Oryctolagus cuniculus: one gene and its partners. The protein of the gene in region 3 interacts with the protein of the main gene of each other region in a pairwise test. Links are inferred from orthologs where the notes say so. Each region holds a gene or a part of one and is shown on either strand. Other genes may lie near its edges.

The links.
Region 1: the proteins of PIN1 (region 3) and GLI1 interact in binary tests that used the Homo sapiens proteins (3 or more experiments, as listed by UniProt). The link is inferred for Oryctolagus cuniculus from reciprocal best matches to the Homo sapiens genes PIN1 and GLI1.
Region 2: the proteins of PIN1 (region 3) and RBBP8 interact in binary tests that used the Homo sapiens proteins (3 or more experiments, as listed by UniProt). The two-hybrid records come from large-scale screens. The link is inferred for Oryctolagus cuniculus from reciprocal best matches to the Homo sapiens genes PIN1 and RBBP8.
Region 4: the proteins of PIN1 (region 3) and JAKMIP2 interact in binary tests that used the Homo sapiens proteins (3 or more experiments, as listed by UniProt). The two-hybrid records come from large-scale screens. The link is inferred for Oryctolagus cuniculus from reciprocal best matches to the Homo sapiens genes PIN1 and JAKMIP2.
Region 5: the proteins of PIN1 (region 3) and CCDC184 interact in binary tests that used the Homo sapiens proteins (3 or more experiments, as listed by UniProt). The two-hybrid records come from large-scale screens. The link is inferred for Oryctolagus cuniculus from reciprocal best matches to the Homo sapiens genes PIN1 and CCDC184.
Region 6: the proteins of PIN1 (region 3) and RBPMS interact in binary tests that used the Homo sapiens proteins (3 or more experiments, as listed by UniProt). The two-hybrid records come from large-scale screens. The link is inferred for Oryctolagus cuniculus from reciprocal best matches to the Homo sapiens genes PIN1 and RBPMS.
Region 7: the proteins of PIN1 (region 3) and CEP76 interact in binary tests that used the Homo sapiens proteins (3 or more experiments, as listed by UniProt). The two-hybrid records come from large-scale screens. The link is inferred for Oryctolagus cuniculus from reciprocal best matches to the Homo sapiens genes PIN1 and CEP76.

Annotation. Positions count from the first base shown.
Region 1 is NC_091442.1:60,090,853-60,094,352, forward strand, and holds part of GLI1 (zinc finger protein GLI1), read left to right. Parts: intron 1-537; 5' UTR 538-556; coding exon 557-656; intron 657-812; coding exon 813-905; intron 906-2,281; coding exon 2,282-2,477; intron 2,478-2,701; coding exon 2,702-2,846; intron 2,847-3,138; coding exon 3,139-3,273; intron 3,274-3,364; coding exon 3,365-3,500. UniProt on the Homo sapiens protein: Acts as a transcriptional activator. Binds to the DNA consensus sequence 5'-GACCACCCA-3'. Regulates the transcription of specific genes during normal development.
Region 2 is NC_091441.1:54,689,054-54,692,553, reverse strand, and holds part of RBBP8 (DNA endonuclease RBBP8), read left to right. Parts: intron 1-2,083; coding exon 2,084-2,172; intron 2,173-2,928; coding exon 2,929-3,043; intron 3,044-3,500. UniProt on the Homo sapiens protein: Endonuclease that cooperates with the MRE11-RAD50-NBN (MRN) complex in DNA-end resection, the first step of double-strand break (DSB) repair through the homologous recombination (HR) pathway.
Region 3 is NC_091447.1:67,377,720-67,381,940, reverse strand, and holds the start of PIN1 (peptidyl-prolyl cis-trans isomerase NIMA-interacting 1), read left to right. Parts: upstream 1-1,421; 5' UTR 1,422-1,518; coding exon 1,519-1,576; intron 1,577-2,666; coding exon 2,667-2,882; intron 2,883-4,221. UniProt on the Homo sapiens protein: Peptidyl-prolyl cis/trans isomerase (PPIase) that binds to and isomerizes specific phosphorylated Ser/Thr-Pro (pSer/Thr-Pro) motifs.
Region 4 is NC_091437.1:35,267,463-35,271,441, reverse strand, and holds the start of JAKMIP2 (janus kinase and microtubule-interacting protein 2), read left to right. Parts: upstream 1-1,179; 5' UTR 1,180-1,521; intron 1,522-3,979.
Region 5 is NC_091440.1:137,729,988-137,732,907, forward strand, and holds CCDC184 (coiled-coil domain-containing protein 184), read left to right. Parts: upstream 1-1,460; 5' UTR 1,461-1,722; coding exon 1,723-2,268; 3' UTR 2,269-2,420; downstream 2,421-2,920.
Region 6 is NC_091433.1:80,425,844-80,429,973, reverse strand, and holds the start of RBPMS (RNA-binding protein with multiple splicing), read right to left. Parts: upstream 2,801-4,130; 5' UTR 2,519-2,800; coding exon 2,453-2,518; intron 1-2,452. Other genes in the region: collagen alpha-2(I) chain-like, read left to right, coding at 2,915-3,685.
Region 7 is NC_091441.1:69,551,029-69,554,528, reverse strand, and holds part of CEP76 (centrosomal protein of 76 kDa), read left to right. Parts: intron 1-1,055; coding exon 1,056-1,184; intron 1,185-3,500. UniProt on the Homo sapiens protein: Centrosomal protein involved in regulation of centriole duplication. Required to limit centriole duplication to once per cell cycle by preventing centriole reduplication.

The DNA of each region.
Region 1 (3,500 bases), on a different chromosome or scaffold from region 3:
CAAGACTGCAAGAAGGCCTTTATCCCTTGGGGCATTCACCCTAACCCTGGCCCTGGCAGGAGGATGCTTATATGTTTGTTATTTATTTATTTCACAGACACACACACACACACACACACACAGAGCTTCCATCTGCTGGTTCACTCTCCAAATGCTGGCAAAACTGGAACTGGGCCAAGCCAATGGCAGAAGCTGAGAACTCCATCCACTTCTCCCATGTGGGTGGCAAGGGCCCAACTACTGCAGCCCTCCAGGGTGTACATTAACAGGAAGTGGAATGGGGGCAGAGCTGGGACAGGCAGGACCCAAATCCAGGTGCTCTGACATGGGATCTGGACTGCCCAAGTAGGGGCTTCACTGTTGGCCAAATGCCCACCCCGAGCGGTGCTCTTTTCAACCTGGTTTCCAGGGAAGACGCCTTCGAGGGCCTGGGGGAACAGACAGCCCTGCCCAGGGTCCTGTGCCTGGGATCATGAAGGGACCTTCGCTAATTCCCTCCACCTTCATAACCTGAGGTTCTACCTTTCCCTTCTGCAGTGTCCCTGCCTCCTCCACCATGTTCAACTCGATGACCCCACCGCCAGTCAGTAGCTATGGTGAACCCTGCTGTCTCCGGCCCCTCCCCAGCCAGGGCCCCCCCAGCATGGGGGCAGAAGGTCAGTGCACCTATGCATTTCCCATCTGTAAGCGGCTTTGAGGCTCCATGTCCTACGGGCTTGGCATTTGGGATCAGGTCTTGCCTGGAGTTTCAAGGTGAGGCCTTACATGTCATCCACTCCCACGCCCCCATTCCAGCCATCTGTCTTTTCTAGGACTGTCTGGTCTGCCCTTCTGCCACCAAGCCAACCTCATGTCTGGCCCCCACAGTTATGGGCCAGCCAGAGAGACCAGCAACTGCACCGAGGGTGAGGCCTCAGGCACGTCTTTCCTCTCTGCCCCTCTGGGACTTGTTCTGAAGGAGAAAGTGGGTGGGCAGAGCATCTAACTAGAAGCAGGAGATGTCCAGAGATGTGAGGGCTCAAGGCATCATCAACAGGCCACAGATGCGATCAGCAGGACAAGCAAAGTTGCTTATTATTATTATTATTATTAGAGAAGCAACAGACAGTGAGTCCCCATTTTCTGGTTCATAGCCCAGATACTAACAACAGCTGGGGCTGGGCCAGGCCAAAGCCAGGCACTAGGAACTCCATCCAGGTCTCCCATGTGAGTGGCAGGAACCCAGTCACTTGAGCTATCACAGCCGCTTCCTAGAGCGTGCACTAGCTGGAGCTGGAGTCAGCAGTGGAGCCAGCTTTCGCACCCAGGCACTCTGATGCGGGACGTGGTCATCTTAACCCCTGCACCAAATGCCCAGCCCTCAAGTATCTTTTGTTTGCTTTGAATCAGGACCTACAGGTTGAGTTCAAGGAGATTTGCTTCATCACCATTTCTTTTTTTTTTTTTATGATTTTTTTAATTTATTTATTGAAAGGTAGAGTTAAAAGACAGAGGTCTGGCCGGCGCCGTGGCTCACTAGGCTAATCCTCCGCCTTGCGGCACCAGCACACAGGGTTCTAGTCCCGGTCAGGGCACCAGATTCTGTCCCGGTTGCCCCTCTTCCAGGCCAGCTCTCTGCTGTGGCCAGGGAGTGCAGTGGAGGATGGCCCAAGTACTTGGGCCCTGCACCCCATGGGAGACCAGGAGAAGTACCTGGCTCCTGCCATCGGATCAGCGCGGTGCGCCGGCCGCAGCGGCCGTTGGAGGGTGAACCAACAGCAAAAAGCGAGACCTTTCTCTCTGTCTCTCTCTCTCACTGTCCACTCTGCCTGTCAAAAAATAAATAAATAAATAAATAAAAAAGACAGAGGTCTTTCATCTACTGGTTCACCCCTCCAAATGGCTGCAATGGCCAGGGCTGTGCCAGGCTGAAGCCAGGAGCCAGGAGCTTCCTCAGTTTCCTTCGTGGGTGCAGAGGCCCAACTACCACTGCTGTCCAGGGTGCACATTAGCAGGAAGCTGGAGTAGGGAGCAAAACTGAGACAGGCAGGACTCAAATCCAGGTGTTCTGACAAGGGATCCCAGTATCCCAAGCGGTGGCTTAACTGCTGGGCCAAATGCCCACCCCTGACTCCACTGCTTTCCCAGGCGCATTAGCAGGGAGCCGAATGGGAAGTGGAGCAGCTGCGACTTGAACCAGCGGCCCTATGGGATGCTGGTGTTGCAGGCATCGGTTTAACCCGCTACACCACAATGCCACCCCCTTCTTCAACATTTCTATGTCCCCTGTCTCCTGCCCCAGGCCCACTCTTCCCTCCTCCCCGGAGTGCAGTCAAGTTGACCAAGAAGCGGGCACTGTCTATCTCACCTCTGTCGGACGCCAGCCTGGACCTGCAGACCGTTATCCGCACCTCGCCCAGCTCCCTCGTGGCTTTCATCAACTCTCGCTGCACATCCCCTGGAGGCTCCTATGGCCATCTCTCCATTGGCACCATGAGGTGCAGGCAGCCCCAGACTAAGAGGGCCCTAAAGCCCTACCAAAGCCCATGCAAAGCCCTAGCCCTCCAAGCCACGTGACCCTACTGAATCTTTGCCATTTCAAAGGCATTGCAACCCTCCCTGCACTGCCTCAAGCGCATCTCATACTAAGTCTCCCAGAAACCCTCCTGGAGGCTTTTTCGGCATCATCTTCAGTAACTGCCTTCTCTCTCCTCCTCCCCAGCCCCTCTCTGGGATTCCCATCTCAGATGAATCACCAAAAAGGGACCTCGCCTTCCTTTGGGGTCCAGCCCTGTGGGCCCCACGACTCCACCCGCAGTGGGATGATGCCACATCCTCAGGTCCGGGGACCCCTCCCCCCTTGCCAGGTGAGAGGCCCCATATGGCAACCTGCTTCCCCTTAGCTCAGGGTAGGGGAGGGAGTGGAGGGCGTTCTAGGAGAAAGGCAAAGAAGGGAGGACAGGGAATATAAGCATTCAGCTCCAGAGAGTGAGGAGGCATGGCTGCTGGAGGCTCACTCCTTGGGGTTCAATTACACCCTCCCAATGAGACCCCACATTCTGCCCTCCAGTTCACCTGTGCAGGCTGAAGTCCCTTCCCAATGTAAGGGTTCCAGTTGCTGAGGTGGGGCACCTAGGGCAGAACTCCCCCTTTCTTCAGCCTGCCGTTACTCTGACCACCCTCACCTCTTCCCCCTGGGGGCAGCTGAAGTCGGAGCTGGACATGCTGGTTGGCAAGTGCCCAGAGGAGCCCTTGGAAGGGGACATGTCCAGCCCCAACTCTACCGGCACACAGGTAAGAGGTGAAGTGGGGCTGGACCTCTGGGACCCTGAGCCAAACCAGTGCTGTCACCCATGTGACCCTCAGATTGCCTCTGCTGCCCTAGGATCCCCTGCTGGGGATGCTGGACGGGCGGGAGGACCCGGACAGGGAGGAGAAGCCGGAGCCGGAATCCGTGTATGAGACTGACTGCCGCTGGGATGGCTGCAGCCAGGAATTTGACTCCCAGGAGCAGCTGGTGC
Region 2 (3,500 bases), on a different chromosome or scaffold from region 3:
AGAGATTGAGTTGTTTTGAAAAAAAAAAAATCGTAACTTCTTCCTGCATGAGTCTGTATTTGCAGTATAATTTTCACTGGTTACATTTGACTGTGATTTTTCTGCTCTTGTGCTTTTTGAAAAAAGTAATTGAGATCTTTTGGTGCTTTTATAGGTGATTTTATGGATTTACTTGTGAGGATTTTTTTTTTTTTTTTTTTTTTGGTGGGGAGGGAATCTGTTTTCTTTACAGAAGGTTAAAAAAATTAACTGTATTTTATTTTAAAAAAATAAAAATTAGAACTTTCCTTATCTAAACTTGTTGCTCACTCCCTGGGTGACATGTTGTTCTTGGCCTTTACAGGTATGTCTGTCAATACATGTATACATGTATTGACAGGCTTTTCAACTTCTTATTTGAAAACATTATTTGATTTCATATGTTTATGTATTGTTTCATAATTTTGTTGTGTTTAAAAAAAGTCCTTTTGTCTTTTCAGTCACCAGACACTTCTGTAAGTTCAAGTACACTATGTTTTTCCTTTATCCTTCATTGGCAAGTTACTCCTTCATTCTGGATTTATTTTCCTTTTTTCCTGAAGCACATAATTTTAATTGTTCTTCCAGTGACAGTTTCAGTCTCTGCATGAAAACCTTTTTTACCATCTTATTCCTGAATTTTTTTAGCTTTTTGTTTTTATTTTTTTTAAACTTTTCATGTTGATTTGAAATGGTTGTGGGACCCTGGGAGAGAGAAAGAGAGTTATCTTTTCTGCTGGTTCACTCTCCAAATGTCCACAACAGCCAGGGCTACACCAGGATCATGGAACTCAATCTGGATCTCCTGTGTGAGTGGCAGGAACCCAGGTATTTGAGCCATCGTCTGCTGCCTCTCATGGTGCACATTAGCAGGAAGCTGGATCCAAAGTGGAGCAGCTGGGACTAGAACCAGGCACTCCACTATAGGATGCACGTTTTCTAAGCAGTGACTTACCTGCCACACTAAACACCTGCCCCTTTGTTTTTACTATTTTCATGGTTATCCCAGCGATTACAGTATAGCTACTTCATCTTTCAGGATCTATTGGAGGTAATATTTGTACCACTGCAACTATACTTTATGTAGTTATCATGTATTATATAGGCATACATTAAAAACCCCTCCAGTGTTATAATTTTAACTTTTTTAAAAAAATGTTTGTATTGAAATATAATTCACATCATAAAAATCACTCATGAAAGTGGACAGTTCACTGGTTTTGGTATATTCATGGGATTGTACAACCATCACTATATTCTAAATTTAGAACATTTTTGCCATTTTCCAAACTCCTTCCAAAACCTAGGTACCACTAATCTAATTTGTTTTCATATATTTGCCTAATCTGGAGTTTTCATATAAATGGAATCAATATGTGGTCTTTTGTGACCTCTTTCACTTGGCATAATGTTTTCAATTTTCATCCATATTATAACATATTAATATTTCCTTGTTATTGCTGAAGAACATTACATTGTACATGTTTTATTTGCCCACTCATTTTATTTGTTTCTATGTTTTTGCTATTACGAACAGTGCTTCTGTGAACATTTGTGTACAAGTCTTTCTATGGATGTATGTTTTCATTTTTCTTAAGGTCTACCTAGGAGAGAAATTACTGAACCATATGCTGACTCTGTGTTAAACCTTGTGAGGGACTGATGAAATGTTTTCCAAAGCAACTCACCTTTTCACATTCCCACCAGCAACATGGAGGGTTCCAGTTTCTACATGTCCTTACTAACATTTGTTTGTCTCCCTGATTCTTGCCAGTGTGACGAAGTGTCATTATGGTCTTGCACTTCCCAAGGGCAGCTGATGCTGAGCATCTTTTCATGTACTTATTGGCCATTCATGTATCTTCTTGAAGAACTGGCTGATCAGATCCTTTGCCCATCTTTTATTGGGACATTTATCTTTTTAATATTGAGTTGTGAAAGTTCATTCTGCAACCTAGATACAAGCCCTTTACCAGACGCATAATGTTCCATGTGTACTACTCTGTGGCCCTATAATGTTTTAAAGTGATGGGAATTTTTACGTATTTTTTCCTCCTTATTTAAGATGTATCCTTTGAAAATATCCAGTGGAGTGTAGATCCAGGAGCAGACCTTTCTCAGTATAAAATGGATATCACTGTAATAGATACAAAGGTAAGTTACAAGTAGAATGAAAACACATCTGATTTTAATTCTAGTGAGCTGTTAGTCAACCTTCTTTTCTGACTCACTCTAAGACCTTAAGATCATCAGATTTCTCTTAAAATCTACATTTACTTACTCAAAAAACTGCGAAATAAAGGTACTTGTTATTCTCACTTTATGATGTTTTGAAAGGGTAATATTTCCTGACTTTAAAGACTTTTGCTAGGAAACATTCATGTAGTTTTATAAGTAATATAAGGTACTAGTAATATATTTTAAATAATTGTTATCCAAATAATTTATCATCCATCTTGATTAGCTGTGAAGTCATGTTGCTTCAAAAAGAAAATTCATATTCCCAGTTGACTATTTTTATAATTAAAATTCATACTGAAAATACTTTTTTGCCTTATGATTCTAAGTAATTTGAGAAGTTGTCTTTTACTTTAGTAGCATGTTCACAACAAAATGTTTAAATAGGTGATATATATACCAAGAAAGAAATCATATTTGGTTTTGCTATTAGTGTACATTGGTGTTCATTACAGTGAGACAAACTGGAGAAGAAAGGTAGCACAAGCTCCAGGGAGTTTGGTGTCAGTAGCTCTCCCTTTGTAGCTGTTGTTAAAATACAAATGTGAATATGAGTTCATTCTTAAAAACTGAAAGATTTATTGTTTATTTTATCAATTTGTTTTTGTGAAAAGTAAATATAAGGCCACAAAGGGATAATTGTTTTAGATTTTTTTAAAAATATTTTTCCAGGATGGCAGTCAGTCAAGATTGGGAGGAGAAACAGTAGGCATGGACTGCACATTGGTCAGTGAAACCATACTTTCAAAAATGAAAAAGCAAGAGCAGAAGGGAGAAAAAAGTCCAAGTAAGATTTTTTTGTTTTTGATAAAAATATGGGGGGAAAGTTGGTCATTGTACTGTTGCACTGATGAACACCATGTTCTCCTCACCATAAACCAGTTTGTTTTTTCCCCTGCTTTGTTAATTTTATTTTCCTCTTAGGAAAGCTCAATTCAGTATTTTGGGGGGGGAAAAACACCTTTAACCTAAATAATTTTTATTTCAGAAAGAAATCAAGTTATGTCCAGGGGTCAGTAAACTACAGCGAGTTAAAATTAAGTTTTATTGCCACACAACCTCTTTCTGTATTGATGTGTTGCCCATGGCTACTTGTACTAGACAATGACGGAAATCAGTGAGTGGTTGGTGCGGAGGCCCCATGGCCCCACATGTTTAAAATACTTACTACCAGTCCTTTTGAGAAAAAGTTCACTAATGTCTGGTTGAGATAAATTTTTTTATGAAGCATATAAAGAATCCTG
Region 3 (4,221 bases):
AGGATGTGCAGCAGTCTCCACAGCCTCTACCCACTAAATTGTCCCTTCCTCCCTTTGTGACAGCCATAACTGTCAAGACATCACCAGATGTCCCCTGGAGAACAAAACTGCTCCTAAGTGAAAACTTCCGTTCTGCTGTGTCAAATGCTATCCCATTTGCCAGCTGGGTGAAATCTATTTTTGCAACTCCAATTATCTTTTACAATTATTATGCTAAGATGTGCTTAAAAATGAGAACATTAAAAAGTTCTTCATTTTTTGTCATTTGACTTGTATCACCACTGGTAGTCAACATTTTAATGAATCTATAAATTTGCTGTGATATAAGCCTATAATACTTAACATATCTTAGCTGTAGGCTAGGAAGTGTTTTGAGTGCTTTATAGGGACCACTCCTTAACCATCGCATCAGACAGAAGAAGTGGTAGTATTGCTTCCTCCGACTTTGCAATCGGAGGACTTGAAGCACGGGGGTTCAGTAACTTGCTCGCACCCCCTCACCCCCAAGCAAGGTGGCTCCGCAGCGCCCTTGGCCTCCTACCTCGTCCTGCCTCTGTGTTTTCCCTGAGCCACGTCTCTGAGCCTCGATGTTGTTAAGGGGCACCCATGTGGGTGCAGGGACTATAATCCGCTGTCTTCCCAGGTGCATTAGCTGGAAGCCAGATCAGAAGTGGAGGAGCTAGGTCTGGAACTGGCACACCGATAAAGCGCTCCCTTGTTCACCTGCAGCCCTTGGCACTCCCGGCCACCCCCGCAGCAGCTCATGCTTCTCCCACCTGCGCCTCCTCTCGCGCTCTCCTCGCCAGGGAGGAGGAAGCAGCCAGAGTGAGAGGAAATAAGTAGATTCCAAAGGGCCCGCGGGGGGAAAATGGTTTAGCCCAGCGAGGCCGGGTTGGCTTTGGACATCTGGAAGAAGCAGGTGGGAAGAGGGAGGCTGGAGAAGCCAAACTTAGGCTTCGGGCACTGAGCTGCTCGTCACCAAGGCAACTGCGTTGTTATGGCAACAGCACGGGTACCACCGCCTCCTCCTCCCACAAGTAACCTGCACAGCGGCCAGACGCTTCCGCATGAGGGTCGTGCGGCCTTCCGGGAACGGCTCGGGCAGGCGGGAACTGCTGCCCCGGCAGCCAATCAATAAGCTCTATCCTGTCGGGTCGGGTTCCGCCCGCCAAGAGCGCCAAGAAGGGGGTTGGGACTTTTTTCGCTCTCGCCAAAGGGCGTTGAGAAGGGCGGTCTCGAGTCTCTAATCCACCACTTAGGAGCCAAGGAGAGGAGAGGGGCGGGGCCTGAGTGAGCCCGACTAGGGGCCGGGTACCAGTGTAACGTGGGGGGATCCGCCCACTCTCGCTTCTGCCCAGTAGCAAGACGGAGAGCTCATCCTGACGGTTGGAATGTCCAATGAGCGTCGCTGCCAGGCCCCGGTGCGGAGAACGCCGAGCCAATGGGCAGCGTCGGTGGGCGGGCGCGGGTGACAGGCGGCGCGGCGGAGGCGGAGCGGGCGCTGCGGCAGGAGGGAAGATGGCGGACGAGGAGAAGCTGCCGCCCGGCTGGGAGAAGCGCATGAGCCGCAGCTCAGGTGCCGCGGGGATCGGGGCCGGGGCAGGGCCGCGCGGGCCCACGGAAGCAGGGCGCGAGCTCTGCCCTCGAGCGCGGAGGAGCCCCCCGCTTCCGTCCCGTGAGGTCTGGGCTCCTCCGCGTCGCCCTCGGAGTAACGGCGCCGGCCCGCCCCCGTGGAGGGCTGCAAGGCTCAGGAGCCGGGAGGAAACTGAGGCAGGGGGCGGGGCGGGGGAGGGGCCGGGGAGGCCGCGGCGCTCCCTGAGGCGGCGGCACTGAGTCTGCCAGCCCGGCTGTCTGCAGCCAGCACGGGCCTGCTGCACCTGTCGCTCTGCGGGGAGCTGGGCCCGGGGCACTCCCTGGGGAGGGGGATACCCCTCACCGAGCAGAGAGGCGTGGCACACACACCTGCCGGCCACACCTCTTCCTGAGTCTGCTTGGAGCCCAATCGAAAGCTTGGCCCCGTTAGGTGTGCACCCCGCATCGTGTTTTTAGTTCTCTGAGAATTGCCGCACGTCTGGGAGATGGGTCGTTGGTGCGCCCATTTTACAAGTGGGGACGCTGAGGCCAGGAAGTGGAAGGATGTCTTCCAAGATCGTGCATTTCAGGGGGGTTGGAGCCGGCTTGGAACCCAGTCTGCCTGCTCCAGGGCCCCTGGCGCTTTTCCTGTGTCACCGCGAGCGCCCGAGGAGCTGGCCCGGCTTCTCTGAGTAGGTCTAGGGTCCCTCTGCCGCCCCTGGAGCCCGCAGTGGCCACAGTCGAAGTAATAGTCCTTGTGTGTCGACCCAGGGGAGGTTTGATGGTGTTGATTCGCTCACCCCCATTTTGCAGATGAGTAAAACTGAGGCTCGGGGAGATAAGGCCCACAGACAGCATCTTAGCCTCAGTGGGTGGCTCAGCTGGATTTGTTGCTGGAACCCCCCGATCCCCTGTGTTATTTTTTCTTCCCTGAAGTTAGCAGTCATTGGGGTTCTCTTGTTGTCGTCTTTGCTGGTTTGGAGCCTGTCTTCCCCCACTGAGCATGTGAGCCCCCTCAGTACAGGGGCTGTGCGCTGCCGTGTCCGCCCGTGGCGCAGGGTGGACACGCGATGGGTTTGCTGCCCTCCCCGCAGGCCGGGTGTACTACTTCAACCACATCACGAACGCCAGCCAGTGGGAGCGCCCCAGCGGCAACAGCAGCAGCGGTGGAGGCAAAATCGGGCAGGGGGAGCCGGCGCGTGTCCGCTGCTCGCACCTGCTCGTCAAACACAGCCAGTCCCGGCGGCCCTCGTCCTGGCGGCAGGAGAAGATCACCCGGACCAAGGAGGAGGCCCTGGAGCTGATCAACGGTGAGCAGGGGCTCTCGGGCCGGGATCCTCTCCACTTCTGCTCTCCCTGCTCTGAGGCTCGCCGACTCCAGGAGGAAGAGGGCGTTTGGAGGTAGAGCTGCAGGAGTTCCTGCCAGAGGGAACTTGGGAAGAGGCTCATCCTGGGCGGGGCCCTTTAAATCCTGGGGGCTGGGGGCGGAACTTGGGGAGGCAGCCGGACGCAGGTCTGGGTTCAGCAGAGCAGGGAGGCCAAAAGGACATGTGGGGTGATCCGGGTAAGGTGGCAGGAGGCTGAGCGGCCTTCCCAGCTCTGGGTCGGTGCTGCGGTGGGGCTGCACTCACCAGCTTGGGTCTTAGGAAGGGATAGACCATGAGCAGGTGGGCCCGGGCCCGCTCTTCCGTAGGTGGAGATTTGGGGATGTCAGCAGGCTGCCAGCGCGGGGGGGGGGGGGGGGGGCCTGTGGAGGCTGTGGGAGAGATTGCAGGCAGAGGCAGTGTGGCTCGAGCCTGGGGTGGGCCGAGGGTGGAAATGAGGGGGAGGCGGATTCTAGAGAGATTCAGGAGACAGACTTGGGAGGATGCAGGGGTGTGTGAAGTGGGCGAGGCTCTGCTTGGGAGGCCCACCACACCCTGGGCTCCTCAGGACTGGGGTCTTGTGCCAGCTGTGTGTCCTGGAGCAGCTGTGTTCTCTGAGCCTCGGTGGCTGCCTCTGTAGGCTGGGCGCGTGTCCCCATGAAGAGCCGGGAGCCGTGGGCTCGGTGTCTGGGGCTTGACCCCAGTCCTTGAGGCATATGCATGGGGGAGCTGAGGTCGAGGGAAGGCCTGGGCTCATGGGCTGCTTCTCTGGAAAGATCTCTGGGCCTGGACACGGGCGGTCTGGTGGGCTCAGCATAGACCCTCTGGTGACCTTGGACTGCGACCTTCTCTGACTTCAGTGTCGTCCTGCTCGAGGTGGGACTGGTGCAGGACCCTCAGAGGTTGCTAGGAGGCCGTGGTGAGCCGGCCTTGGCTGTGGCGCACTCAGTAACCAGACATCCTGTGTGTTTTCCACAAGCCTTGGGTGCCTGGGCCTTGTCCTGTGTGTGCAGGTGACTGCTCCCCCGGTCTGGCTGTGTTCCAGAGGATCAGGAGTCGATGGTTTGGCCAGCGCCCTCCCCAGCTGGCAGCCTGGGCCCACACGAGTCTCCTCAGTGCCCACTGGGACCCGGTGCTGCCCCGGGAGACGCGTCTGCAGCGAGAATCAGCGCCTCCACCTCTCTGCAGAGGCTCCTCTTCCCAGCATCAGCTCCTCTGCAGCTGCTGGGCTGCCGCCAGGGGCTGTCAGGAATCCGAGGCCCGCCCAGTGTCACTGTTGGTGTCC
Region 4 (3,979 bases), on a different chromosome or scaffold from region 3:
TCTAATATTAATGTCTTCAACTGCCAAATTTTTTAGCACATTTAATCTCTTAAGGATTCCATGTCTTTCCCAACACCACTACAATCATCATCACCATTATTACAGCCATCGCATGTTTAATGCTTTCTTTCCTTTGTTTTTCTTCTACCTGAAACTGCCACATTCTTCTTTTGTATGTTTATATTAGGTGGTGGCTACAGTGAAACACTGCACTACTAATAGTACTAATTATAGAAAATATTTGTTGTACACTTACTACAAGCCAAGTGTTTTTAGAGAATTATCTCAATCCTCACAAGTGGATGGGATACACAACAGCATCATCTATAATTTATAGTTAGAAACAGAACTTCTGTAGACTCAACACTGTTGATTTCACTTCCCTTTTTCCCACCTACCACCCCGACTGCCAGTTGGTTTGGGAACTCTAAAAGGGCCTCTATGAAAACGGCATGGAATTGCCTGCTGGCAATTAAACACTCCAGTAGTTTGACACTAGAAAGATTTGGAACTGTCCACCAACAGGTGCTGCTGAGAATCCTGCTTGTTTGTAGGAACCTCACTCCTCTGTTCCAGTTTATCTTTTCTCAGAGGAGTGTTAAATACTTCCAGGTTCTCTTCAGAGAGGAGCTGGAAAAACAGTGAAACCAAGTGATTCACCTGAGAATAAGCCAGGAGCACTGAAAGAAAAAAAATCAGCTTATGAATCTTTTGCAAAGTCCAACCACTCACTTGGCTTTTTAACAACCTTGAGTGCTATTGAGTAAAAGATGCTCCAGAAAGGACAAATTTGGAGTAATGATCATCTGCTGTCACAATAATTTTCTTCACATTTGTCGTCATCTTTTCTGATAGCAACTTTAATGCATTTTATTGGAAATCCATAGAAAATGCCAAGTACAACTAAACTGTTTTATACGTTTCAATCTCCACTTCATTTCAGTTTAATTATTATCTTCCATGCGTATGCACCCTAGCCCCATCTCTGACGACCTGGAGTCCAGGATCGGAGACCAAGAGCATCATTTCTCAGAGCGCCAGCCCCAACTTCGCTCCCCTCCAGCCCCTGCAGCTCGCTTCTCCCATCTCCCCTCCTCTTAGCCCGTGGCTTACCATTGGTCGTTGCCATGACAACCAGCAGCTGCTGGGCCGGCAGCCTCTACCGCAGCAGGGGTGGGGCCGTGGGGGAGGGGGAGAGAGATGGGGGAGGAGTCAGAGGAGGTGTCTGCTGCAAGTTCCTGGCTGCTTCTGAGCTCACCCCATCCTCCTAGAGGGAGGAGGCCCAAATGGTGATGCTGCTGCTGCTGCCGCCGCCGCTGCTGCCGCCTCTACTGCTGATACTCTAGCGGGGCTGGAAGGGTGGTTCCCATTCGCACCGTCGCCAACCAAAGAGGGAGGGGAAAAAGACCAGCAGCCGCTGCTGATGTTGGGTTCGGAGGCTGCATCCGAATCGGTCACAGGGAAAATGGATTCAGTTTGCATCTCTCCCTCCTTTCAGCAGCTTCTCCGGGTCTCAGCATGGTGAGTCTGAGACAGTGGGTCACCCTTCTTGGTTTAGCTTGTTATTACATGACTTATATATACGTGTGTGGCCTGGACATGAACAATGACTCCCATCCCTGAGTCTGAGTGAGGAGGAGGGGGGTGGGGATATGGAGACAGAGATGGGGATGGAGAGAGAGGAAGGCTGCCAGGAAGAGGGAAGTGAGACGGCATCCGTTTGCGTGTGTGTGTGTGTGTGTGTGTGTGTGTTTAATGGTGTTCTGATTTTGTCTTGAACTGGCTCAGACTACAGACAGAGCCAGTTGGTTCCTTTCCTACCAAGCTTAGCAACAGAATGGGGAGGGGGGGCTTGTGGAAAAAGAGCTAACCAGGAGGAAAGGGTGTTATTGAAAGGAATCAATTCATTTGCAGCTCTCACATACAGCTTTGGGCCTTCCTCAAAAACACCTTTGGTATCTTGTAAGCTTCCTCGACTAATTTTAAGGTGATTTGGCTTATTTTTCTTCACTGCTAAGAAAAGGTGGCTCCAGAATTCAGCATTCTATTTCATATTTGAACGTACTGTTGTTGAGGAACCATTTGCAAGATCCAGAGTTTGATTTGAGGACATAGGTTTGGTTATGAACATATACACCATAAGGATATGCATATCATCCATACACACGTTCCCCAGCATTTACATTGCATTTATGAAGAGTGCTTATATGCAGTGTGCTTTGCAAGCGTTTTTGTGGGTTATGAATGTCCCTATATATTTGGAAGTAATTGCATATTTTTTGAAACAGTTTCTGGCTTGTATTATTATTCATTGGCTTCATTTGGATTAATGTGAGATTTATTCCCTTAGTTTCATTGTGACCCATTAGGACAGATGCTTATCATTCGATCTGTATCATACAACTAGATGCCAATTCATAGCTTGCCTCTTTATTTTTAATTGGATTTGAGGGGAGTGATTTTGAGGGCCCTGAATTTACAGCGGTGGTAAAGGGACATGGCTTGTGGTATTATTTTGCATCCAGCATTTTGCCAATGGAATGTTTAAACAAATTGGTTTTCCTGAAATTCTACTTCAACCTTTTTATGTCTGAGCCTTGTGTCCCGAGAAACACAGCTGAGCTGGGAGACGAAATGCATTCATTTGGTTTTAGAGTGCTGCTATTCGCTGTTCATTCCTTCAGTATCCAGGCACCATTTTACTGTTCTCTCAAATGTTGTGTTATGGTCTGCTTCTGTAAGTGGTTAAGTAGGAAAGTAGGATTATTTTGAAAATTTAGGTGTCCCCATCTACGCTAGCCTAGCCATTTCCAAATTGGCCTGCTTATACAATGAAATGGAAAAAAAGTGAGCAAGTGTTAGCAGGGAGAATGTGGGACTTGTAGCTGAAATGGGGGGGGGGGTGATTGTAGTTTACAATGCATGCTAGGATCAGCTTGACCTTTTATTATGTCAAGGCTTTAAGGCAACTCCAGGGGACTAAGCATGCCTGAGATGAGTAGTATATACAGCTCCATTACAGGATAATGGATGTTGTTGAATTAAAGCCAGGACAATCCCTGCAGGTAAAAGTGAATTAGTAATATTACATTCATCGTGTACGCTTTTTTTAATCCATCAGCCTCTTTTCTAATATCGTTGTCAGTGCAAACTTTTTTATGTTGTAATTGTTTTGCTTTAATCTTGCATTTTATTTCATGCACTTTTCCCCTTTCCATTTACAATTTTTACAGATCTTTGAATCAGGTTTATAGCTTAATTTCTCTGAAAATAATTGTCCTGTTTGGTACATACATGGGAAGCTTTGTTAGTGACTTTAGTTAATATTTTCATAACTTGCCATAGATTATATAGATTCATAACTCTCTAAATTCAGGTTCCATGTGCCTAATTGTAAAAACTACATTAAATAGGACAAGGAAAGAAGCACTGGGCTTATATGTCATATCAAAAATTTTATAATACACCATATCCTGAATCTTTTAATGATAATTCGACTTCCAAAATTAAAATTTCAAATATATCTACAGTAAACTTGAAAAAATTAAGACACATAGTAGCTCACCCTCGTTCATGCAATGAACAGATATCCTGGGGCTTTGTTTTTATGTCTTTTGTTTGAATGTGGTTTCATAGGCAAAGTTGGTACAGTTTGATGAGAGGCAAATCACCACAGTCCATGGGTTTAGAAGTCACTGTAAGTAGACTGTTTCAGGCCAGACACTGATGTGTATACAGATCTAGGTTTTGATCCTGCAACTTAAGATGCTTATGAGGCCTGTCTGAGGGGCCACCTAAAAATAAAGTATATTTTAAGGATTGCAAATTGAACTCTGAGGAAAGATAAAAAAAAGTAGGATTATTTTGTTTGAAGAAGAGACAAATGAGAGGTGACAAGCATTTGTTTGTTTCAGATAACCAGATGGTTTTATCTGGGACATTGCTTATTTTTATTTTCTTAGAAACTAAAATATGGCCA
Region 5 (2,920 bases), on a different chromosome or scaffold from region 3:
ATGCACTATACTCCAGGGCACTGGGGTGCACAGGGCCCAGCTGGGGAACCCAGGCAGCTCAGAGGCTACCCGTGGATCTCCGGAGTCCAGCTCCTTCTCCCATTTTCTCCTTGTCTCAGTTTCACACAGAATTCCTGAAAAGATCTGGTTCTGAATCCAATGCACCAGCTGGCCCACTCCCTGCGCTCCCACCTACCCTTAGCTCACAAGCGGCTGACCTGGAGCTTGCTGAGGTCAGCCACCCCGCCTTGACCTGCGCACCTGTTCCCAGGGGGCTTTTGTGCATCCCCAATAATTTCGCCTCTGGGACCTCACGGTCACTGCCTCGGGCAGCGTGGTGTAATCTGATCCAAAGCCTTTACAAACTTGGTGTGCTCACTAACAGCAGCAGAGGGCTGGCATAACCCAGCTGCCACCCACGGGGTAACGTGAGGGATTGTCAAGATGGGAGCAAGGCAGGGCGAGCGAACCAGCGAGATGAAACCGTGCGACGCGCTGGCCGAGAGCTGAGAAGGCAGGGGCTCAGCCCCGCGAGCTTCAGGGTCCCTTCCGGCTACTCAGCACTCTCCTGGGGAGGATGAGTGCGAGGTGAACCCACAGCCTCTGAGAACATGATAAGCGACTGGTGCAGCGCCAGCGCAGCTGTTTTTAATGGGTCCTGCCCGCTCCTGGCTATCAGAAAGCCGTTCTGTGCACACCAGGCAGACTCGGCTCTGCTTAGCGCAGCGTTTCTGCGCTGTCCGACGCTTTAGGAATCACTTACAAAGTTCTTACCCACGCGGAGGGCACAGGAGGTGAGAACTGCAAGCAGTAAGGAAGGAATGGACAGCGGATAGGACTGAACGGGCAGTCCGGGAAGACGCGCTGGTAGGAGGTTTTTCACGTTCAGTGTATTCGAATGGCTGCACAAGACTATGAGCGACGCCTTCGACTGATGGACATCTGCGATATTCCCAACCGCTCGGGCACCAATCGCTGGAGCACCGGCCTGGGCGGCCTCGGGCTGCGCGGCTGGAGCAGCAGGACTCCGCGCCCGGCTCCCGTCCAGGAATTCGGCCGCTCGCCCGAACTCCAGTGCTGGCTGCGGACCCCTCGCGGCCTCCTCCCCGCCCTCGCCCTCAGCCAGGCAAGGTTCCGGAGCGGCCGCCGCAGAACACGAGCGGCGCGGGCCTCGGCACACGCGGCGTGAAAAAAGACCGAGTAGAGGCCTCTTGAAACGGGCTCCCCGGGAACGCCGCAGTCGCCGGCCGCACTCCGCGCCCGCTCACGGCCGTGCCGAGCGCCACACGAGAGCGGGCGACACGCAACACGCCGCCCTCGCGAGGCCCGCCGCGCGGCACCCGCTCCCGCACACCCGGCGGCCCCGCCTCGCCCACTGCGGCGCCCCGCCCCTCTCCCCGGCCGCCGCACGTCCTGGTTGCCACGGAGACACGTCACGTACGTGCCGTGCGTCGCCTTGGAAACGGCAGCTCGGCGCGCGGCCGGAGCCGCGCCCCCGCCGCCCGGGCCGCACTCGCGGGCGCCGCCCGTGCCTGGAAAGGGGTCGGGAGCCCCGCGCGGCGGCCTCGGCCTGGACGGGACCTGCGGGCGCGCGCTGCGCGGGGCGCGCTGACTCGGGCGCGGTCCGGAGGCGAGGCGTGCAGGGCGCGCGCGGGAGGCGCCGGCCCCGGTACCCCCGTAGCCGCCGCCCGGCGAGTCCGAGCTGGACGCGCCCCCGACCCCATGGAGGACGGCCCGCTGGAGCTCATGACCAAGGACGGCGGCGACGTGCCGGCGCCCCTGGAGGTGTCCAGCGTGCCGGCCGTGGGCGACGTGCTCTCGGGCGAGTACAACGGCGGCATGAAGGAGCTGATGGAGCACCTGAAGGCGCAGCTGCAGGCCCTGTTCGAGGACGTGCGGGCCATGCGGGGCGCCCTGGACGAGCAGGCCTCGCACATCCAGGTGCTGTCGGACGACGTGTGCGCCAACCAGCGGGCCATCGTGTCCATGTGCCGGATCATGACCACGGCGCCCCGCCAGGGCGGCCAGGGGCGCTGCGCGGGCACCCCCCGGGAGCCCGAGTGCCCTGCGCCGGGGGCGGTCGCCAGCGAGGACCCGGAGGACGGGAACGCCGAGGAGGAGAAGGAGCGGCCGTGCCCCGCCGCTCCCGCCGGCCGCCGCGAGCGCCCCGAAAGCCCCCGCGCAGGCAGCACGGCCGCGCCGCCGCTGGAGCCCCGAGACCCGCCCGACGCCGCCCTGCTGCGGCTGAGGGGCGAGGCCGCGCTGTGAGGCCCCGCGGGCGCCCCCCGGCCGCTGCGGGTCGGACGCCGCCCTCCGACGGCTGCTCGCGGTCCTGGCCGAGGGGCGCCCTCGAGGCGGGGTCTGTTGGGCGCAGGCCCGTGGGAGCTGGGGCCGCTCCCGCCGCCGGCCGCGGAGCCCTTGCGGGCTGCGCAAAGGTGAGCTTGCGGGAGAGGACGCGCCGGCCCCTGCCCTGCCCGTCCCTCCCCAGGTGGCGAGCGGACCGCTGGCCTGTGTAAATAGCACCCTGCCTTTTCTATTCACGACAAGGACTTCTCTAGGACGGTGGCAAACAATCTCAAACGATTTGCCTAGAAATTAAGGAATCGGGGGTGGGGGGGATTCTCTTCTGCCCCTCTGTTGAGTCCAAGACACTCGGTGCTCCGCAGAAACCGCCGCCCCCACCCCGCCGCAAGTCTGCGCTGCCGTTGGTAAAGGGAGCCCAGGACCCGGGTGAATGGGGTTCCCGGGGCGGGCGGGGAGGCGCTGGCTGCGAATGTGCATGAAGACACGGGAATAGCGCAAGCTCTGGATTGTGCATGCAGCGCGGATCCCGCCCGGTCGCTGACTTCGCCTGGGACTGCTTCTCCTCTCGCTGGGGTTAGAGAACAAAGAGCCCAGCTCGCAGCAGCCCAGATGCAGG
Region 6 (4,130 bases), on a different chromosome or scaffold from region 3:
AAAGTGTATTCTGCTCAAGTTCTCAAAAACTCCCACCACCAAAAACTGCAGAAATTTCTCCTAAATGCTGGACTGCTCATTCTATCCAACTGGAGCTAAACGGGGATTTAGGCATCTTTTTCAGGGTCGGCATCAGAAACTCTTAACCGGGGTTAAAATACACTGGATGATAAAAGGAACTCATTTCCATAGAAAATGACACAACTTGGACTGCACAAGGTGGCAAACAGCCGAAGCACCCTGACAACCACAACATCGACCGTTTTCTCACGGTGATTGGAACTCACTGTCCACTGCCGTTCACAAGTCACCAGAAACAGCCCTCCTGTCCTGGTGTGTGCGTGTCCGTGTTACACGTGTATGCCCTGTCTCCTGCGGCCCATTGCCAAAGCTTTCTGAAAACAAACCGCTGCTCCTCTGGGTGGGCAGGCAAAGCGGCCAGTGCAGTGGGATTTTGTGCAATGCTAAGCTCACTGAATGGCACCCACCAAATGCCATATTTATTTAACTTGTGGCTTTCAGGGTTAGGAAAAAAAAGGGGAGGGGGAGAAAGAGAGAGGAGGTTAGTGTTTCAAAACCAGAATGTCAACCATAAACCCTCTCTGGTCAGGGTGTATCCGCAGTGTATACTCTCGCTTCTTATACAACCTGGGTTCTGAAACCTTCCTACCTCCTGTCTTATTTTTTAAGTAACAAGCGTTTTGCTAAAAAGACCTACACCTGGAGGAGCCCACGCCTTTCCCACCCGGAAAGGAACGCTGCTGGGGAAACTAGAAGCAATGCCTGCGACTTGGATGGCCTCTGATCACAGGGACCCACAACCTCGCGATAACCGAGCCCATCCAGGCAAATCCTGGCGGCAGTTCACCTGGCATGGGTCAAGAGAAAAATCTGACTTCTGTCGTCCATTCGATTTTAAGTTAATTGGATATGGTTTTCGAGACACCTGAGCCCATTTTGCTACTACCAAAAGAAAAAGAAAAAAATCTGCAGTCTGATGAACTTTCTCTTAACTACAAGTTTCCTCAACTGGTTAACAGAGAAAGATTGTTTCACAAGATACACTCTCACACTTAGGAGCGGCCAGATTGCCACTCTAAGTGGAACAGAAAGGTTTCTGAAGCAATGATTCTCTTGACGGGTTAAGTGAATTAGCTGCACATGCCAATTCCTGAAAATGCAAATTTGCCATCATTTTTCAGTTTTTAAAGGACAGGGAAAATAAACTAAACAGTAGAGAAGCCAGAAAGTGGAATTTGGAATTCCAGCCTTGGTGTCTTTTTAAAAGCACTGTCACGAGTAGTCCTACATTTGCAGGCACCAAACAAGAAGGGGCAAACAGCTTTTCAAAATAAAGCTTTGTCATAAAACAGGCGATTTCCTCCAGGAGCCAATTCTCAGCTTACTAACTCACCCAGGTGACAACGCTGCTCCACGGCGCTACCTTTTGCATTGTTTTGCATGGTCTTCGCCTGTCTCTCCTATTTAATTAAATAGCTCCAATTTTACACGTGGACGACTTAAAAGGGCTGAGGGATTCCTGCACGAGGTCCACTTCCAACTCTCGGGCCCGGCGCTGCGGCACCGCCTCGCCGCCCGCGCGCACCGCACGCTCTCTGGCTCCCGCACACACGCGCGCGAGCTCTTGGCGGAAGGCTGAGAGCCCCAACTTCGAGGGAACTCAGCAAGTGAGCGGAGGCACTGTTTCTGGGGCTGCGGGAACAGTCATTTGAGAAACCCCACAATCATCCCCTAACTACGGAGTTCTGGAACGTGCGTCCCGCACACCCCTTCCCCACACTTCCTCGGCTTCGCGTTTGCCAAAGGCAAGTGCCCCCCAACTGCAAGCTGTCTCCCCTCCAGGATCCCGGACGCACAACCCAAATCAAAGTCCTACCGCAGCGTCCTGGCCAGCATTCCGGGAGCGACGCTTTCGGCCCCTCTCATTCTGCTCCCCACATCCACACCCCGCCCCCGAAGTCTACCACAGCCCGGGGTTCGGGGGTTCCCGCCTCGCGGGCGGCGAGTTATCGATGAATCCACACACGCCCCGGCTCCGGAGAGACTTGGCCAAGAACTTTTCACACCGGCGCCAGCGCCAGCCCCTAACAGAGCTTCTCCCCAACTCCTTCCCAAAGCCGCCCGCACGCACGCACACAGACACACGCACTCCCTCCCGCCGGCTTCCAGCCCCTGGCGCTCAGAGAAGCCCTGACCCTCGGGTCCCAGTAACCTGAGGTCACCCAGGAGTCAGCTCTCGATTCCGCTTTTAAAATCCCGGGCACACAAAGCCGAGCATTCTACTTGGAGGGTGTCTCCGCAAAGTTCTGCAAGTCACGCAGCGCAGGGTGCGCGGACACCCCCAGAACCCGCGCCCTGGAGACGCACCCAGCCGGGGCCACGGCGCGCCGGCCCCCGGACGCGCCCCGCCGCCCGCCCGGGCCACCGCTACCTCTTCCTCCTGGAGGTTGGCCTCGCTCGGGGTGTTCTCCTTCTCGGCTTTGCCGCCGTTGTTCATCTTCCCGGTCCTTCGTCGCCGGGCAGGGCTGGGGCGCGGGGCTGGGCGAGGGCGCGCTCGCCCGCTTCTGCCTTCCCCGGGGCGCCGGGGCTGCCTCGGGCGGGCGCCGCGGGGCTGCGAAGGCTCGGGCTGGGCTCCCGCGGCGCGCAGACGACGGCGGCGGGCGACTCGGGGAGGAAGTGCGGGCAGGGCGCGGGCGCGGGCCGGCCGAGCGGGGCGCGGAGACAATCGCGACCGGGAGGGAGACCTGGGGCGGGAGGGCGGGCGCGAGGGAAGGAAGGAAGGGAGGGAGGGAGGAAGAGAGGATGGGGCGAGGGCGCGCGTCCCAGGAGTGAGCGCGGAGAGCTGGGGCTGGGGGCTGCCGCTGCCGGAGCAGAGCGAGGCTGGAAGGAAGGGATGGGGCGGCCGGAGAGGAGGAGGAGGAGGAGGAGGCGCCGGCCGCGGCTGGGACGCTGGGACGCGGAGAGCCGCTGGCTGCGCGCTCCTGGCCGGCTTTGGGAAGTCCGAGTCCGCTGCAGCTCCTTTCTCTCGCCTCCCTCCCTCCCCTCTCCGCTCTCCCCTCCCTCTCCGCCTCCCTCCGCCCTCCCTGGACGTGGGCTGCCGCCGTCAGCCCGCAGGGACGGGACGGGGGCCGCCGAAGCCCCCCGGCGGGAGGAGGGGCCGCGGAGTCGGCGCGGCCCGGGCCGGATGGCGCGCGCCGGGGAGGGGCGGCGGCGCGGAGCGGAAGCGGCCGACCCCGGCCCCGGCTCGACGGCAGAGCGAGGGCCGGGCGGGCTGAGCAAGGGAGGCTGGAGAGCCGGGTCCCCGGGCGCACGCGGCGTCCCCCGCGCCCCGGCTCGGAGAGGGGGCTTCGGGGAGCCGGGCCCTGGCCGTGCGCGGACCGGGGGCTGGGATGTGCCACTTTTGTTTGCCTGCTTTCCACGAGGGAGCTGCGCGCCCCCGGGCTCCTCGCCGGTAGGGGCTGAGACGCGGGTCGCGCCCTCGGGGCGAGGGCTTGGAGGCCCGGGACGGAGGAACGCCGGGGACAGCCGGGCCCCCGTGAGCCCCCCGCGAGCCCCCCGCCGGCCCGCTCTGGAGTTGATTGTTCACCTGGCCTCTCTTTGGGGAGCGCCTTCCTGGCAAAGGAGACCGAGCCCTGTTTATCCGGCTAATCCCGCGGCTGTTTAAATGAGCCCCCCGGCACACAGTGGGCACTTTTCTAAACGAGTCTTGGCAGGCAGCCCTGGAGGGTCAAGGCATTCGGGCAAAGCGAGGCGCCCGCCTAGTGTTCCCGCCGCGCCTCTGGGGGACTGCCTACTTTATTTTCTCGTCCGTGAAATGGGTGCAGTTACCCCGGAGTGTGGGGGGCACGCCTCACACCCTCCTGCCCGCTGTAGGCTTACAACATGGATGCTAACATCATTATGAAGAAAATTTCCATTTCTTCTGGGCCTGGAGCCTTTTGTCTTATGGGTCCAGTTATGCGTCTAAACTTGACTGCTACAAATGTATAACCTTACAACTCGCAACTAGTTCGTTCAGCGCCGCCTCCCGCTCCCAGGAATTCCTTCCTGCACAGCACCTATCACAGTTTCTATTTATTGACTGGCCTGCCCTTTATCTTGCCTCCCCT
Region 7 (3,500 bases), on a different chromosome or scaffold from region 3:
CTGATTTTGCAGATTTTCTCTTTAAAATTATACTGTTGATAAATTTTTTGTCAGAAATATTTATTGATCATAAACAGATGGTTAACAAGTGCTAGGCACTGTTCCAGAAACTGGAGATACTGCTTGCTCTCAAGGAGCTTAGATTCTGGCAGGAAGACAAGCAATAAACTAGTGTTAGGTAGAGAATTATTATAGGGTGAAGTGTGTGACAGAGTGGTTAATGGCAGGCTATTTTTTTTTTTTAATTTATTTATTTAATTTGAAAGTTATGGAGAGGCAGAGAGAGAGAGAAAGAGGTGTCTTTCATCTGCTGTGTCTGCTCCCCCAATGGCCAGGGCTTGGGCCAGCCTGAAGCCAGGAGCCGGGAGCTTTACCTGGGTCTTCCACATGGGTGCAGGGGCCCAAAGATTTGGGCCATCTTCTACTGGTTTCTCAGGCACATAAACAGGGAGCTGGATCAAAATGGAGCAGTCAGGATTCGAACTGGCACCCATATGGGATGCCAGCACTGCAGGCGGTGGCTTTACCCACTAGGCCTCAGCACAAGCCCCTGGAAGGCTTGGTTTAAATCAAATGATTGGGGTAGGGAAAGATCTGAATGCAGGAAGCAACCAGCTAGGCAAAGATTGGGCCTCAGTCAGCATTTCAGGTAACAGGAACCACTGAGAGCAAAAGGCCCTATGCGGGAAGCAAAACCCTATGTGTGGCTGGAGTGTGGTCATGGATGGGGACTGTAGAAAATGAGGCAGGGCCAGACCTTGCAGGCCTGGGCATATAGTTTGCAGTGTGGTGAAAGAAGATTAAAAGTGTTTTAAGCAAGGGAATGACAAAATATGATTTAATTTTCTATATTGAAAGAAAAATTACTCTGACTACTGTATAGAGACTTGATTGTACTGAGTACCTGTAGAAGTAGGGAGGTCATGAAGTTCCTACAGACAAGAGATGATGGGGTTCACATGAGGACAGTCCTGGAGAATCATAGATTTGCTACATTTGTTGTCCTTAGGCGATTGAATAGAGATTGAAAATGTATTTTTTTTTTTTATTTCAAGCTTGCTTTGGAACGTCAGAAAACTGCAGAGAAAGAGCGATTATTTCTTGTATATGCTAAACAGTGGTGGAGAGAATATTTACAGATTCGTCCCTCACACAACTCACGGCTGGTTAAGATTTTTGCACAGGTTTGTAAATTATGGTAGGAAAGCTTCATGCCTGTATTTGAGCTTTACTGTTATACATGTAAGTTTAATTTAATTATAAAGAGTATTCAGACAGATGAAAGTTTACTTGTAAAATAAATAATGATTATGTAATACTCTTATACTGAGTGGTATAATATAATCTTCTATTGTACTTTTGATTTTAATTATTGTGTTTTTAAACCTTTTTTGAATATATTTGATTTGAAGTAGTTGTTTAACTTAGAATATATCCTAAATATATATATATATTTATATATATATAAATATATATATAAATATATATAGAATATATAGAATATATCCTAAATACTTAGAATGAAATAATTAACCACTTCAACACTTTTATATGTAAGATCAATTTGTGTGTGTGTGTGTGTGTGTGTGTCTACTTTTGGAGCAGGGTGGGAATGGCAATTTTTTGAAGCAAACAATTTTATATAATAATCCTGTGTAACCAAGATCTCCTAGCCAGTGACCAGTAATTTCGCTTTGGTGTTTCAACAGTATGTCTCTGCCTCTGTTTTTCCCATTTTCTCTCTTTAACAAACATAAAATATATGACAAGAGTCGTATATTTTTGAAAACTTTTGAAGAACATTCAAATATTTTATATGTATTCAGCCTCATTTTGATGATTTTATATAATTTTACTTATTTTCATTTTTTGTTTGAGGGACAAACACTGGTTCACACCCCAAATGCCCACAACAACCAGACTGAAATCGCCTGGAACTCAATATGGCTCTTTTGTGAGTGTGGTGGGACCCAAATATTTGAGCCATCTTCTCGCTCTCAGGGTGACATTTAACAGGAAGCTGAGTTGGAAGTAGAATTGACAGGACTTGGACCAAGTGCTCCCATATGGCATGCAGATGTTGCACGTAGTGATTTAACTGACTAAATCATGGTGTCAGATGTGTGTTCTGTAGATGCTTTCATATCAGTATAGTATAGAATTACTTTGTCTTATGTTTGTAACTTTACCCTGCTTTCCTCCAGATTTTGGAACAGGCTAAAAATGGTTCAATTTCTAGTTGAGGAACTTGGAAAGAGTAGACTCTAGCTAGTGGTGGGAACAAAGGAAACGTCTCCAAACCTTCTGGCAGCAATGTCTGCTAGTACACATTGCATGACCAGGTAGGCGAGGAATCCAGGACCAGGAGGAGGGAAAGAAAGGTGGTGACAGATCAAAGAAGAGGAAAAAGTTGATAGGCTGCTGAGGAAATTATAGAATTGGGATTTTCTTCTGGGAAGTATTACTTCAACAAATTTCCTGTTTCTTAGAATTCATTATGGGCTGGCACTGCAGCTCACTAGGCTAATCCTCCGCCTGTGGCGCCGGCACACTGGGTTCTAGTCCCGGTCGGGGCGCCGGATTCTGTCAGCTCTCTGCTGTGGCCCGGGAAGGCAGTGGAGGATGGCCCAAGTGCTTGGGCCCTGCACCCTATGGGAGACCAGGAGAAGCATCTGGCTCCTGCCTTCAGATCAGTGAGGTGTGCCGGCTGCAGTGCGCCGGCCGCAGTGGCCATTGGAGGGTGAACCAACGGGAAAGGAAGACCTTTCTCTCTGTCTCTCTCTCTTAAAAAAAAAAAAAAAAAAAAAAAAAAAAAGCATTATGAGAAGATTTGAACCACATAAGGCCATTTTGTCTCAAATTTTTTCTTTTTTTTTTTTTTTTTTTTTTTTTTTGACAGGCAGAGTGGACAGTGAGAGAGAGACAGACAGAGAGAAAGGTCTTCCTTTGCCGTTGGTTCACCCTCCAATGGCTGGCGCGATTGCACTGATCCGAAGGCAGGAGCCAGGTACTTCTCCTGGTCTCCCATGTGGGTGCAGGGCCCAAGCACTTGGGCCATCCTCCACTGCATTCCCGGGCCACAGCAGAGAGCTGGCCTGGAAGAGGGGCAACCGGGACAGAATCCGGCGCCCCAACTGGGACTAGAACCCGGTGTGCCGGCGCCGCAAGGCGGAGGATTAGCCTAGTGAGCCACGGCGCCGGCCTATTGTCTCAAATTTTTAACATGGAAGATTGTCAACTGGCCAGGCATTGCCTCTTTTCATAAACAACATGAAGGGTAGAGATGTAAAGATCTTTCTCGAAGATTGAAAAGCAACTCAGTTGTAGTAGAGTATATATTAAATTGTGCTTTTTGATTGATGCCTTTTCGGTTTATGCCACCTCTTTCCCCATACATAGAATAGGTAAAATGCTTATCTTACTTGGATTTCTTGAGTTGTTTCTTGCTGCTTCTTCCTGAACTCGACTATTTAATGAAATTAAGAAACTGCTGTTCCATT